Linked DNA regions of Oryctolagus cuniculus. The protein of the gene in region 1 purifies or fractionates together with the protein of each later gene. This does not show direct contact. Links are inferred from orthologs where the notes say so. Each region holds a gene or a part of one and is shown on either strand. Other genes may lie near its edges.

Region 1 (6,929 bases):
ATGGAAGCTCTTTGCCTCTCAAATAGCTTAAAAACAAAACAACAACAACAAAAAAACAAGAACGAACAAAAAACCCAAACTAGATGAGAACACTTGCAGAAATTCCTTGGATTTCTTTTTCATGTCTGTCTGGTCTACTGTAGGCAGAGCTTCGTGTGGTCCAACAGGCCTCACCCTGAGCAGCCTGCGGGGAGGCACGTCTCAGGCCGAGCTGCTGGGAGCCCCTTCCTCCCAGGTGTCCGTCCTCTCCTTCAACAGAGAGGAAGTGCAGAACCAACAGCCGAGCTCTCTGTCGCTCTACGCCGGCTTCTTGAGGGTGGCCTGCGGCTTGTCCACACCAGCAGCACCAAGGACTCCTCCCTGCACCTCAACCAAACTGTCCTGAGTCTGCACTGTTAACTAGCTTTCCCAAAATCTTTTTTTTAAAGATTTATTTACTTGAAAAGGCAGAGTTACAGAGGACAGCGAGAGGTCTTCCATCTGCGCGTTCACTCCCCAAATGGCTGCAACGGCAGGAGATGGGCCAATCCGAAGCCAGGAGCCAGGAGCTTTTTCTGGGTCTGCTACACGGGTGCAGGGGCCCAAGCACTTGGGCCATCTTCCACTGCTTCCTGGGCCATCAGCAGGGAGCTGGATAGAACTGGAGCAGCCCAGTTGGGATGCCGGCGTGGCAGGTGGAGGCTCAACCCACCACGCCACAGTGACAGGGCTGGCATCACTCCCGAGAGGCCCCGACTGCCTGACCTTACACCTTACGCAGTTTCCAAATTTTTACATAAAATGAAGCAAGGGGGAGCAAAAAGAAGCAGAATGAAGAATTCATTGTACGTTTATTATTCACAGTTAATCACTACCTACCAAGTGCCACCCGCAGAGTTACAGGATTACGTACATAGGTCTTTTTAGTTAAACACGGATTTGTTTTTAAATATATACACACAAAACTTAGTTCAGCAAGGCTTCATGATATACACCAACTCCAAAATAAAACAATCAGACGGTCCAGGTGTGGACGCCAGGTGTTCCTTTGATCAGCAACGCGGGAGGGAGGGCGGGAGCAGTCGGACGGGAGCCAGGAGAGGCGTGAACATGCTCTGTCCACAGGAGCAGCGGCCTCCAGGCCTCCGGGACCCGCAGGCTGAGTCTGTTTCCACACCACAGTCTGGGGAGATGCCACTGAAGGGTCACAGAGGCCCAAGGCCACCAGCACTCCCAGGGAGGGAAAGCAGCAGCCTCGTCCGTGTCCTGGGGAGGAAAAGCCCACGAGCCCAAACGACAAGGGACGGAGAGCTGACACGGAGAGCTTAGAGGGGCTCCAGCCTCTGTCTTCCCAGCGCCCCCCCCCCCCCCCCCCGGGTGGGGATGGTGCTGGGGGCCGGCCTGCTGCGAACGGGACAAGGAACAGTGTGTCCCAGCTTTTGCACACTGCCCTGCTGCTCACCTGGACAGGTGAGGGGACACAAAAGGTGAGAGCCATGACCTAATGTCAGGAGCAAGAAAAACACAAATACTCTCCTTCTGCAACCTAACGCAGGCCCACAGTCCCACCTGCCGCAGCTCAAGAACAGCAGCCTAACAGCACTTCCTCCACTGGCTCTCCTGTGTCTGAGACTTGCTGGCTCCAGGGGTCTGAGCGGGGGTCTCTGGGGTCGGCAGGGTAGACAATACCCGGACCACAAGGCAAGGACTCAGATCCAGCCAGACGCCGTAGAGCTGCAGCCGGCCCTTCCCCGGCACACCAGGGCCGGCGGCTCCCTCAGACCCTGGCCTTCTGGCTTGGTACGGGTAGAACGCCCCCCTCCCCGCCTTCCGCTGTCTCCTCCCTCTACCCTGCTTTCCCCTCCCCTGAGGGAAAAGGATTTACAGAGAGTGGGAGACGAACCGGCTGGAAGGCCAATTTGGACTGTCTTTAATTTATCTGAAAACAAAACAAGTAAGACACATCCCTCCTAAGCAACCCGGGACATGGGGAAAGGCACCATGGGAAACAGCAATGCTCAGGGACGCCGCTCCCACGTGGAGCCAGCGACGGAGGCTTTCAGTCCGACTTTCTCAGGAAGCCGAGGGGCAGGTGACACGCCTCCCTCCCACCCCCGACAGAACAGCCCCAGGCTGGGCCCGCGGACGCCACCCTGACCCGGCAGAAGCTGCCCGCCTGCTCCTTTCTGTGTGCACGCACGGAGAACACAGCAGTAGTTGTTCCAACTAAACAGACATTTTGCATAGAGAAGATACCAGCGCACGTGGTTTCTTTTCTTTTATTATTGGCATCAGCTAGGACTATACGTGGCCTTACACGTCATGCACTGAAGAACGGGAGAAAAAGGACGAGAAAAAGGACAAAGGCGGGGCAAAGGAGCAGCGGTGAAAATCTGTAATAAAAACTCTTTTCTTAATAGGTAAGTTTTGGCATTTTTATATCCAATGCCCCCTCCCACCCCCCGAAGTTCCAACCCAGGTCAGAGAGTCACGGGCGTGAGGTGACCCAGCCAGGTGTCCGGGCTCCTGCAAGGCTGCTGGGAGAGGCAGCCCGGGGCTGTCATTCTTTCGTGTTTTCAACTTTTCACGGCTTTAAATAACCTCCCCTTGATTCTTAGACATTCCGGTTCACGGGGGTGACGTAATTGCGGGGGAACATGCCGGTCTGCCCGTGGCAAGCCCCCTTCCACCAGTTGGGGTCAGAGTTATCCATGACATGGATGAAATCTCCCCGGCGGAACCCCAGCTCTCCGTCCTCCTGGGGGTCAAAGTCAAAGAGGGCCTGGACGTACGTCGGCTGCTGCAAAAGAGGAGCAGGGAAAACACGCGTGTGACACCCCGAGCCTGGAGTCCTTCCTGCGCTGGGCACCCACGCTCGGGGGCTGCACTCCCCAGGGCGTGTCAGCAGCATAGTCAGCACCCCTGGGAGTCTGGGCTCCTGCACAGCCCAGGATCCAACACCTCTGAGCTCCTGTCGCTGCCAACACCCTCGAGGGTTTGCAGTCAAAACATCTGGATGAGCTTGAAAACATAAGGTGGTGGACTCAGCTGGGCCGCCAGGGACAGGCGCACAGGTGCGAGCACAGGCCCCAACCCTCCCTACAGGACACCCCTCACAGTTTTCTTCCCGGGACAGAATAGCTGACAGACAGGTGGTGAGCGAGCCACACACCTGACTGCAAACCGCAGGCCTCTGTGTGAGCTAAGGGTGATGTCCTGAGCACGGGGGCTGGAAGTGACCCTCTGAAAGGCACCTGCTCCTAACCGCTGGAGGTGAGCCCGACTCTGCCCCAGCCTTACCTGCGGCACCTGCTCTATGTCCCGCAGGAATATCTGCTGGTTTCTGGAGACAGACGTCGACCTGTGGTAATCCACCAGCTCATTCAAGGAGTTGAACTTCACCACCCAGAGGAAATACTTCCCCGCTCCGTCTCGGAGCACCTTGAAGTGCTGCACGTCATTTCCAAACCTGGGGGTGGGGCAGAGAACACAGCACGTGGGTCAAAGGGCTCTGGCCTGGCCCATGAGGCCCTCTGCCAAACAGGAGGGGTCCAGAGAAAGCCACTGTCTGGCAACGCTCCTCACAGCCTGCGGGCCGGTTGGCTACACGCCACTGAGCCTGGCTGGAGAGGGTGGGACGGCCGCTGAGCGTGCCGAGACCCTCACCGTGACTGACGGTCACCCGCAACAACACAAAGAGCCCTCACGGGACAGGCCAGGCCCCACTCGGTCTAATTCTACAGGCATTTATGGGATGGAGAATGAGGCCGGCGCTGCAGCACACTGCGCAGAGGCGCTGCCCGTGGCACCAGCATCCCATGCGGGTGTCAGTTCAAGCCCCAGATGCTCCATTTCTGACCCAGCTCCCTGCTAATGCAACTGGGAAAGCAGCAGAAGATGGTCCGATATCTGGGGCCCCTGCCGCCGTGTGGGAGACCTGGAAGAGGATCCTGGCTTCAGACCCGCCTAGTCCTCGTCATTGCGGCCATGTGGGGAGGTAACCAGAGCATGGAAGACCCCCCCCACCCGCCGCCGCCCCTACCGCTCTCTGTCTTTATCTCCTCTGTCTCTGCAACTCTGCCCTTCATGTAAATTACCTTTAAAAAAAAAAGGAATGTCCCAACCCATGCTGTGCCCTGCACTGTACCAACTACATCAGCCTCACTTAAGACAAGGAATATACCTTAATTAACTACGCTTCAAGCAAAAATAATTAAAATCTCAAAGGTGGGATAGAAAATAAGGTGAGGAAGCAGATACGCTCAACAAAGCTCCAGGTACCAGAAATACTCCAGTCATTTCCCACTTGGGGATTTGAGTTCTACTCACGGGATAAAGGCCGTGGGGGGAAAAAGGATGTACTGGGACAGCAAAAGAGGCCCAGGCACCAAAGTCCCCACACCCTCCATCGCCAGAAAATCCACTCCCCTTAATGCTGGCCAGCAACACAGAGCTGCCAGTGACACCTGCTGTCCCGTTCCCTGCTGAATCCTCCAAGGACTCAGTGAGCACGTGTTCCTCAAAGCCCTCCTTTGGGTCGGTATTGCGCCATAACAGGTAAAGCCCTCGCCTGCAATGCTGGCATTCCATACGAGCGACGGTCAAGTCTGGATGCTAATGGCGTAGGAAAAGCAGCAGACGAAGGCCCCAGTGCTTGGGTCCCTGCCACCCACGTGGCAGACTGGGAGGAAGCTCCCGGTTTCAGCCTGGCTTAGTGCTGGCCATTGCAGCCGATTTCTCTTTTTCTCTGCAACTCTTTCAAATAAGTAAATAGATAATTTTAACGTCAAAGGCCCTCCTTCAGTATTAAAGCCTAAAGAAGCCAACACTTTCCAAAAACAGCCAGCAGGTGGCAGGACTGGGCTTCAAGGAAGCCGGAGTGCAGGATACCAAGTGGGGTTGGGGGAAGACAATCCAGTGGCCCTGGCATTCCCTCCCCCACTATCCATAGTGTGGTTTGTGTGTGTGTGTGTGTGTGCTGCGGGGGGTTCTAAGACCCCCAGTGGATGCGTGAGACGGTGGATAGTACCAAACTGCATATATACTGCTTTCTCTTGCAAACACCACACACACACACACACACACACTTCTATGATAAAGTTAAATTAGTAAGTTAGGTATAGTAAACTAACAATACACAAGACAATTGTAACAACCAACAACCACAAAAAAATAAAAGTCATTTAAAATCTGAACTGTTTGTTCCTGGAATGTCCCGATCAGTATTTTTAGACCACAGTCACTTGTGGACCGTGAAGCCGCGGATGGGGGTGGCTGCTGTACTGCTTTCTCACACACCCACACACAACACACAACACACACACACACGGGGGAGAGAGGAGGGGGAGGGGTGTGTGTGGGGGGGTGCAGTGCTAGTGAGAGGGCTTCTGGAAGAAGGGCCTGTCCTGCACCTCTGGCCCTGGGGACTCGCTGGCGGTGGACGCGGTCAGTTTCTTAGGTGCGTAAGGTCCCGGGTGAGCACTCTGCCAACTACAAGGGCTCGAATCACTGACTCAAAACATCTTAAAAACCAGAGAAACACTGCTGAGGCTGTTGATTCTTGAGCCTCCTTGGTGACACATTTTCTGTTGTCACAGGCAGTCTCACACTTTATTTCTCAGACAATGAATAGAGAATTTGATAAAAGGGAGTGCTGCGGGTTTTGGTGTCTGTGGCAGGAGTGTCCCACACTGAGTGCCCGGAGGTGCTGGCCACCAGCCAATGACCAACTGCTTGTATTCCTAGTCGCACGTTTACTTTATACTCAGTCAGCATAAAACACAAGGGACCGAGATGCACACAGATGATGACCCCACCGCCCTCCCCTCCCCGGGCCACGCTCTGCAGCAGAACTTCACTTGCGATGTTCAATCAAGCCCTTCAAGGAGTCCTTACTGGACAGGCCTTTGGTTAAGAAGCCTGCACAAACATCAGTGTCTGAGCCCCAGCTCTGCTCCGACTCCAGCCTCCTGCTCACGCAGATCCTGGGAGGCAGCGGAGGCGGCTCACTCACAGGAGCCCCTGTCACCCACGTGAGACCTGGATGGAGTCTGGGATCCTGGCTTCAGCTTGGCCCAGCCCCAGCTGTTGCAGGCATTTGGGGAGTGAACCAGAAGGGGGGATCTCTTTTGGTCTCTGTCTTTCAAATAAAATGGAAAACAATCAAACAAACAAATACCCACAATCATGGGTCCTAATTCACATTTTAAAAAAGACACATCTCTATATTTAAATCTGCTGTTAAAAAAAAAATCTATACTTTAACCACACATTAATCTTAAACCAAAATACTAAGTTCTCTTTTAAAGTCTCGTGCTTTATATCATTTGTAAATTATTCTCTTACCCTCATGTTAAAAATAATTTTAGGGGCCAGCGCTGTGGCGAAGCGGGTGAAGTTGCCACCTGCAGTGCCACCATCTCATATGGGCGCCGGGTTGAGGCCCGGCTGCTCCACTTCTGATCCAGCTCTCTGCTGTGGCCTGGGAAAGCAGTACAACATGGCCCAACTCCTTGGGCCTCTGCCCCCATGTGGGAAGACCCAGAGGAAGCTCCTGGCTCCTGGCTTTGGATCAGTGCAGCTCTGGCCATTGCGGCCAATTGATGAGTGAACCAGCGACGGAAGACCCCTCTCTCTCTCCTTCTCTCTGTGTAACTCTTTCAAATAAATAAAATAAATCTTTAAAAATTATAAAAATAACTTTAATGTAATCTATAATAAAACGGCAATCTGAGCTTTAACCTAATTTAACCTAATTACCCATATACATGTGTTTATGTGTATAAACACTAAAGTGATTTGTAAAATTTCCGAGGGAGGGTTTCCTATGATAATTTATTAATCAGAACAGGACTGAAAGCAAAAAAAACAAAAGCAAAGAAAAAAACCCACATGGAAATGAGAACTCAAAATCTTCTCCACTCCTGCTTGCTAGCTCCTTACCACAAATC
Region 2 (7,364 bases), on another chromosome or scaffold:
CTCATCACCCAAGCAGCCCCGTCGTCAGAGGTGAGAGGAAAGAGGACGCGCCACACTTACAGAAATTTTCCGTTCGTCTTCGATCCGATCAGGACGGTTTGCTCAGATTCATCCCGAGAGATTTTCCCGTGGAACCAGGGCATCTTTTCGTGGGCGGTGGTGGCGATCAGCTTCTCCAGCTGCGGCTTCTGACTGATGATGGCTTGCTCCAGAGCCTGGCCCTGCAGCGAGGGAAGACAGTGAGCAAGCCAGGCACAGATGGAGACAGGTACCGGGCTGGTGCTGGGGTGCAGTGGGCTAAGCCTCGCCAGCGCCGCCGGCATCCCTTATGGGCGCCAGTTTGAGCCCCAGCTGCTCCGTTTCCGATCCTGCTCCCTGTAATGCACTTGGGAAAAGCAGTGGAAAATGGGCCAAATTGTTGGGCCCCTGCACTCACGTGGGAGACCAGGATGGAATTCCAGGCTCCTGGCTTAGACCTCACCCAGCCCCGGCCATTGTGGACATTTTGGGGAGTGAACCGGCAGATCTCTCTCTCTCTCTCTGTCTCTGTCTCTCTCTCTTTCTAACTCTGCCTTTCAAGAAAAACAAACAAACAAAAAGAAATGGATACAAATTGAGAACCCACAACCCTGGAAAAATAACAAAAACATAGGGCCGTTGCTGTGACATAGCGGGTAAAGCTTCTGCCTGGGGTGCCAAATTCCTTTATGAGCGCCAGTTCGAGACCCGGCTCCACTGCTCCACTTCCAATCCAGCTCTCTGCTATGGCCTGGGAAAGCAGTGGAAGATGGAACTTGGGCCCCTGCACTTGTGTGGGAGACCAGGAAGAAGCTCCTGGCTCCTGGCTTTGGATCCGCGCAACTCTGGCCTTTTCAAACCAGTGGATGGGAGACCTTTCTCTCTGTTTCTCCTTCCCCCTGTCTTTAACTCTATCTTTATTTATTCAATAAACAAAATCTTAAAAAAAAAAAGAGTTCTCAGCTAAAAAAAGAAAAAAATGACATGCACAGAAGTCATTTTCGGTCTGTCCTGGGTCCTAACACCCTTCCATGCTACAATGGGATCAGACTTGGTTCATTCACTCACTCATCGTCTACTCATTTATTAAATACAAACAGGCCGGCGCTGCGGCTCACTAGGCTAATCCTCTACCTTGAGGCGCCGGCACACCGGGTTCTAGTCCCGGTCGGGGTGCCGGATTCTGTCCCGGTTGCCCCTCTTCCAGGCCAGCTCTCTGCTGTGGCCAGGGAGTGCAGTGGAGGATGGCCCAAGTACTTGGACCCTGCACCCCATGGGAGACCAGGAGAAGCACCTGGCTCCTGCCATCGGATCAGCACGGTGCGCCGGCCACAGCGCACCAGCCGCAGCGCACCAGCCGCGGCGGCCATTGGAGGGTGAACCAACGGCAAAGGAAGACCTTTCTCTCTGTCTCTCTCTCTCTCACTGTCCACTCTGCCTGTCAAAAAAAAAATTAAATACAAACAGTAAGACTTTTATCTGAGGATCCTCATGGAAATGGAATTAAGATACCATTTTCTGGTGCAAAAAAAAAAAAAAACCTGGAAAACCATGAATAGATTTTTCATAATATGCATTTTCCAAGAACTTTGAAGACTCCCTGTATATTACTTAAGTATCCTCAAGAGTATAGTAAAAAAAAAAAAAAAAAAAAAAAAAAAAAAAAACCAGATTGTAGAATAAGGAGACTGGCCTGTCAAAAGCTATTGCATGGCACCTGGTATAACCCACAAGGTCTAGGGCGCGGCCTCCTGCCTGCAGCCTAGATGGCCTGGCTGTCCTGTGTCGCAACCTCCAGGCAGTTGCAAGGAAAGCGCGTGTGGCTTCCCCGAGTACTCATTCCCCCACCCCAGCCTGCACCTGCACCTGCAAGAAATGGGATCACACGCATGATGGCAGAAAGCCTTGACCATGCGGACTTAACGATGGGGAAATCCAACATGGGGGAAGGGGCTGGCAGCCACGCCATTTGGTTTCTCTGTCTTTTTCGGTGGGAGAGACATAGATCATCTCATTAGTCACTGAAGAGCCAAAGTTCGATTCCTCGCATTGGAGAAGAGAAGCACTAACAACATAACTGTTGCCATCCCACAGCAGGAGCTGGAAGAAGGGAGGCAGAAGGCAGGGAGGGAGACAAGGACGGCGACAGTCATACACCACGGGGCACGCGGAACAAGGTGAACGGAGGAAAAAGCACATGGCTGTAGATCACAGGCCAGACATAGCCCTGGGCACCGGCAATGCCACGGCTGAATAGCAGGCGCATCGCGTTTTGTGGAGGAAGCCACTCTGCGAAGGCTACATGCTGTGGAATTCCCCTTACGTGACATTCTAGAAAAGGCGAAACGGTGGGGACAGGAATCAAATGAGCGGTTTCCAGGAGCTGGGACAGATGAAGGTGAGGGAGCTAATGCCTGCCTTGACGATGTAGGGATTATGTGATACCAGGCATATGTCAAAGATCATAGGACTGCACACTCAAAACGGATCAATTCACTGTGTGTAAACTCCACCCAAGAAATATGACTTACCTGACTTAATAAAGAATAAATGCATGGCCTAAGACATACCCAATGAATACGAATGAAAAATACTGAGTACATTATTGCAAAATCCCTCTGCGAGGCTGAATTTAACACAGGCCATACTGAATGAATAAACGGAGTCTCTATGGCGTCCTCAGAGGATCCATATGGCCATAAATCAGCATGCATCAAATACATAGCAAAGCACAAGACAGACCTCCCGGGAGCACAAGGAGAAGTGGTTGAGCACTTATGTCCAAGAAGAGACTATCAATCTAAACTGTTGGCTCTTGACACCAAATACTATCAAGAATGAATGTGGCAGGAGCGCAAATGGTTACAACCTCTGTCACCTTTGTAGATGGAACTCGTCAATGTATCCACATTAAACACACACACACACACACACACACACACTCATACCCTGGGCTGTGACAAACCTAGCCTTTTTAGAGTTTATCTGGCAGGCATTGCACATAAGCTTAGTTTAAGATGGGGACAGAATACTGTTGTTAGGAGAATTATTTTTCAAACCATAAAAATGTCCATCAACAAGGACTAGCTAAATAAATTTGGTACACAACAGGCAATGCCAGGCAACCAAAGACAGGGTAACTGATACATAGAAATGTCTGCAAGAGATTTAGGAAGCTATTAAATCTGGTTCCAAGCCGGTGCCGCGGCTCACTAGGCTAATTCTCCACCTTGCGGCGCCAGCACACCAGGTTCTAGTCCTGGCCAGGGCACCGGATTCCGTCCCGGTTGCCCCTCTTCCAGGCCAGCTCTCTGCTGTGGCCAGGGAGTGCAGTGGAGGATGGCCCAAGTGCTTGGGCCCTGCACCCCATGGGAGACCAGGATAAGCACCTGGCTCCTGCCATCGGATCAGCGCGGTGCGCCGGCCGCAGCGCGCCAGCAGTGGCGGCCATTGGAGGGTGAACCAACGGCAGAGGAAGACCTTTCTCTCTGTCTCTCTCTCTCTCTCACTGTCCACTCTGCCTGTCAAAAAAAAAAAATCTGGTTCCAAACAGCGGGCACACCATGACCTTGTTAGGAGAATAAATAACAATAGATGCCCAGCCATGCCTCTCCCAAAGGGCCCGCCATGAACTGGGTGGCAGGGGAATGGCTTCCTGCAGTGGAGACACCCACGTGGCTGGAGGGCAGGGGCCCACTCTCTGGGCTGTGTTTGTACAGAGGAAGGGCAGTCTTCTTGGAGCATTTGGAGCCAGGGTTGATGACTACGGAAATGGTTGCCGGGAGATTTCTTCAATAGGTTTGCAGAAGATAGAATTAAAAAAAAAAAAATTTTGTGCAAAATACTTTGAAATCCATGCACACATGGGATCTTCAAAGTTCATGGGAAATGCATATTACGAAAAAACTATGCACGGATTTGGGCGCTGTGGTATGGTTTACATGCACCATGGTTCTGCACGTGTGGGTTTATAGGGACCTATGAACTCAGGGCTGGCCACACCTCACCTGCAGGTTCCACGTCTGCTTCACGTACTCCCTGATGAGGCTCTCCTTCAAGTCCTCAAAGGGCCCGGTCTTGGGCTGCACCCCAGGGGGCCGGTTGAAGGGCGTCTTGAGGAGGCAGATGAGGCCGTCGGACTCCTGAGAGTGGTAGTGACAGAGCTCGGCGGGGCTGCTGTGTGTCCTGCCACCAGCGATGGCATAGGTCCCATTGAGCTCCCTCTCGATGGTGTAGTGGTGCGCCTTCCTCCCGTGGGCCACCGACAGGGCAAAGCCGCCCAGGTAATTGCGACTCTGGCGCAGCAGGTAGAGCCCATCAGTCATGCCTCCCTGGACCAGGTAATCCTCGGCCTCTTCCCGGGTGATGTTGCCGAAGAAGAAGGGCAGGTGGTTGGCACTGTCCACCGTGTTGCTGGCCATGGCTGTGCTGGCCCCTTAGGAGATGCAAGGGCACATGCAGGGGTCCACCTGGGGCAAGACAAAGATGGGAGTGTCGGTCAGCTTCTGTTACTGTAATGAAATGCCCAAGAAAGGATACTTTATAAAGAGGTTTACTTTGGCTCATGCTTCTAGATGTGCTGGCTCCAAATAACATAGCAAGGCTCTGGCAAAGGACTTTTGGAATATAACATATCGTGGTGGGAGCATACATGTCTGTTTATATCTCCTCTTTCCTTATAAAGCCACTAGGATCTGATCCTGAGGGCTCCACGCCATGATTTAATCCAATCTAATCACTGCCCAAAGGTTCCACCGGGGAGCAGCACACTTGGATCAAGTCCCCAGCCCCCTAGCACCATGAACACAAGACCTTGTGGATTAGACTTCCACGTGAGTGTGGGGGGACAGATTCTCAGATCACTCAATGTGAGGAGCCCAAGCAGCAAGGGGCATTTGCTAAAACCCCCTGGATCCTTTCAAACCGGAGACCTGCCAGTCCAGCTCAGAATGGAAGCACTCCCCTCGCTGGGCTGCCCACCACGCTGGGGTCCCTTTGAGACTGGATAAAAGCAGAATTTACTAAGTCAGGGTCCTCCCACCTGATGGGTGTCCAGCTGCAGCTCCAACCCAATCAGGAGAGACAGCAACCAGACTCTACCTGCCCTATTAAGGATTCCCCCAACCTGCACGTGCCCAGAACAGTCCAATGTGATAGGTACATGACCTTTCTGGGGTGGTGCTGGTAATGACCAATGCCACAATTTTGAGCCCATTGTGTGCAAAAAGAAAAAAAAAAAAGGAACTGTGCATGCACACAATACTGAGCTGGGTACAAGTCCAAGTGTCATGTGCTGAGAGGAGGCCCCCATCCTGTAAAAACCCCTGCCCAGCCCCCCTCATCGAAGCTGTCTCCCTTGTGCTTAAACCCCCAGTAAACCTTGTCCAGTGGCACGTTGGCCTTTTGTCCATTTCTATTTGGGTCAGGATTACTTTGTCCTGTACAATTATCACAGTTTCCCTGCACACTCTCTGAATCCTATTTCACAGATTATTTTTTTATTTGAAAGGAAGAGTGATAGAAAGAGAGGGAAAGACAGAGATGTTCCATCGGCTGGTTCATTCCCCAAATGTCTACATCGGCCAGGGCTGGGCCAGGCTGATGCCGGAAGCCAGGAACTCCATCTGGGTCTCCCACATGGGTGTCAGGAATCCAAGTATTGCTGCCTCCCAGGCACGTTGGCGGGAAGCTGGATTGGAAGTGGGAGCGTGGCTCCATCCCAGGCACTCTGACATGGGATGCGGGCATTCCAAGTGCGGCTTCACCTGTTGTGCCACACCTGCTTCTCACCCTCTGAATTGTTAACCCGGACACAGAGCATCTGACCAAAGTGACCAAATTGATCGATTTTTTTTTTTTGGTTGGGATAAAGAAGCCTAAGAATAAAAAGTAGGGAATAAGCAAAAGCAATGTTGCCACACATGACTCAGAGCTCATCCTGAGGGTCCACGCTGGAGGCAGACGCCAGCGTGAGCTGACAGCCACCGCTCCTCTGTGGGTGCAGAGGACCTGCTCCGCATCACGGCTAATTCACAGCAGAGGCATCACTAAACAGTTTCCGCCTGAACCAGGAGAGGCTGCTGCTTTGTGTAGCCACACACGGTGGTAGAAGCCGTGAGAGCTGAAGTGAGGGCCACGGTCACAGGCCGTGCAGAACCGTCACCTGCGGTCACCTCAAGGCCTGAGACACAGAACGTTGTGTCCTTCCCACATGTCCCCATCCCTCAGCCTGGGGCGCCACGCTGCCCCCCCCCACTTCTCCAGACCTCACGCTGGGCACCCCGCTTCCCATCTGCATGGCCAGAGACAGTCTGAGGCCAGAGCTGCGTGCCTTGCATAAACCCACGCTGCAGAAGACAAACACCCGGAGAAAGTCTGCAAACAGGGAGGATACGCACTGCCCGGCCAGCAAGGATCCCAGGAGGGACGCATTGCAACCCAAAGGGGCTGGTCGTGGCGCAGTTACTCATACAACGCGTAGTTCATCTGGGGCCAAGAGAGCATGACCCTGTGTGTTATTCTGCCCAGTGACTATACCACACACACACACATACCACATACACACACATTCAAACTACATACACACATAGATACTACATACGCTTACACACACCACACACAGATCCAAACTACACACACACACACACAGATACTACATACACATATACACACCACACAGAGATCCAAGCTACACACAAACACAGATACCACATACACACACCAAATACAGATCCAAACTACACACACACACAAACATACACACACCACACACAGATCCAAACTACACACACACATACACATACCACACACAGATCCAAACTACACACACACATACACACACCACACACAGATCCAAACTACACACACACACACACACCCAGATACCACATACGTATACACACACTACATATAGATCCAAACTACACACACAGAGATACTATATACATACACATACCACATACAGACCTAAACTACACACGCATAGCACACACACAGGTACCACTTACATATACACACACCACATATAGATCTAAATTACTCACACACACACACACCATATATACACATGACACATATGATACACACTACACACCACATACACATACCATGTACAATACACATTACATATATATACCACACACACAGACAACATACTCATGCCACACTCATCTCACATGTCACACATACACACACATATCACATACATGGCCTACATCCCACCTCCCCACACACCTGTCCTGCACCCATCTACTCTCCCAAGCCCTGGGGACCATCAGTCTCCATGGTCCACTCCAACTCCATCCCAAGCAGGTGACCGCCTTGGTTTCCTGGGGAGGGGCAGGGCC

Evidence for each region.
Region 2: the proteins of GRB2 (region 1) and SYK purify together in Homo sapiens (affinity purification with western blotting; 3 studies listed by BioGRID, with this or other methods). This does not show direct contact. The link is inferred for Oryctolagus cuniculus from reciprocal best matches to the Homo sapiens genes GRB2 and SYK.

The regions. Positions count from the first base shown.
Region 1 is NC_091448.1:5,228,544-5,235,472, reverse strand, and holds the end of GRB2 (growth factor receptor-bound protein 2), read right to left. Parts: intron 3,449-6,929; coding exon 3,280-3,448; intron 2,780-3,279; coding exon 2,594-2,779; 3' UTR 2,245-2,593; downstream 1-2,244. UniProt on the Homo sapiens protein: Non-enzymatic adapter protein that plays a pivotal role in precisely regulated signaling cascades from cell surface receptors to cellular responses, including signaling transduction and gene expression.
Region 2 is NC_091432.1:139,308,419-139,315,782, reverse strand, and holds part of SYK (tyrosine-protein kinase SYK), read right to left. Parts: intron 4,488-7,364; 5' UTR 4,440-4,487; coding exon 4,026-4,439; intron 222-4,025; coding exon 61-221; intron 1-60. UniProt on the Homo sapiens protein: Non-receptor tyrosine kinase which mediates signal transduction downstream of a variety of transmembrane receptors including classical immunoreceptors like the B-cell receptor (BCR).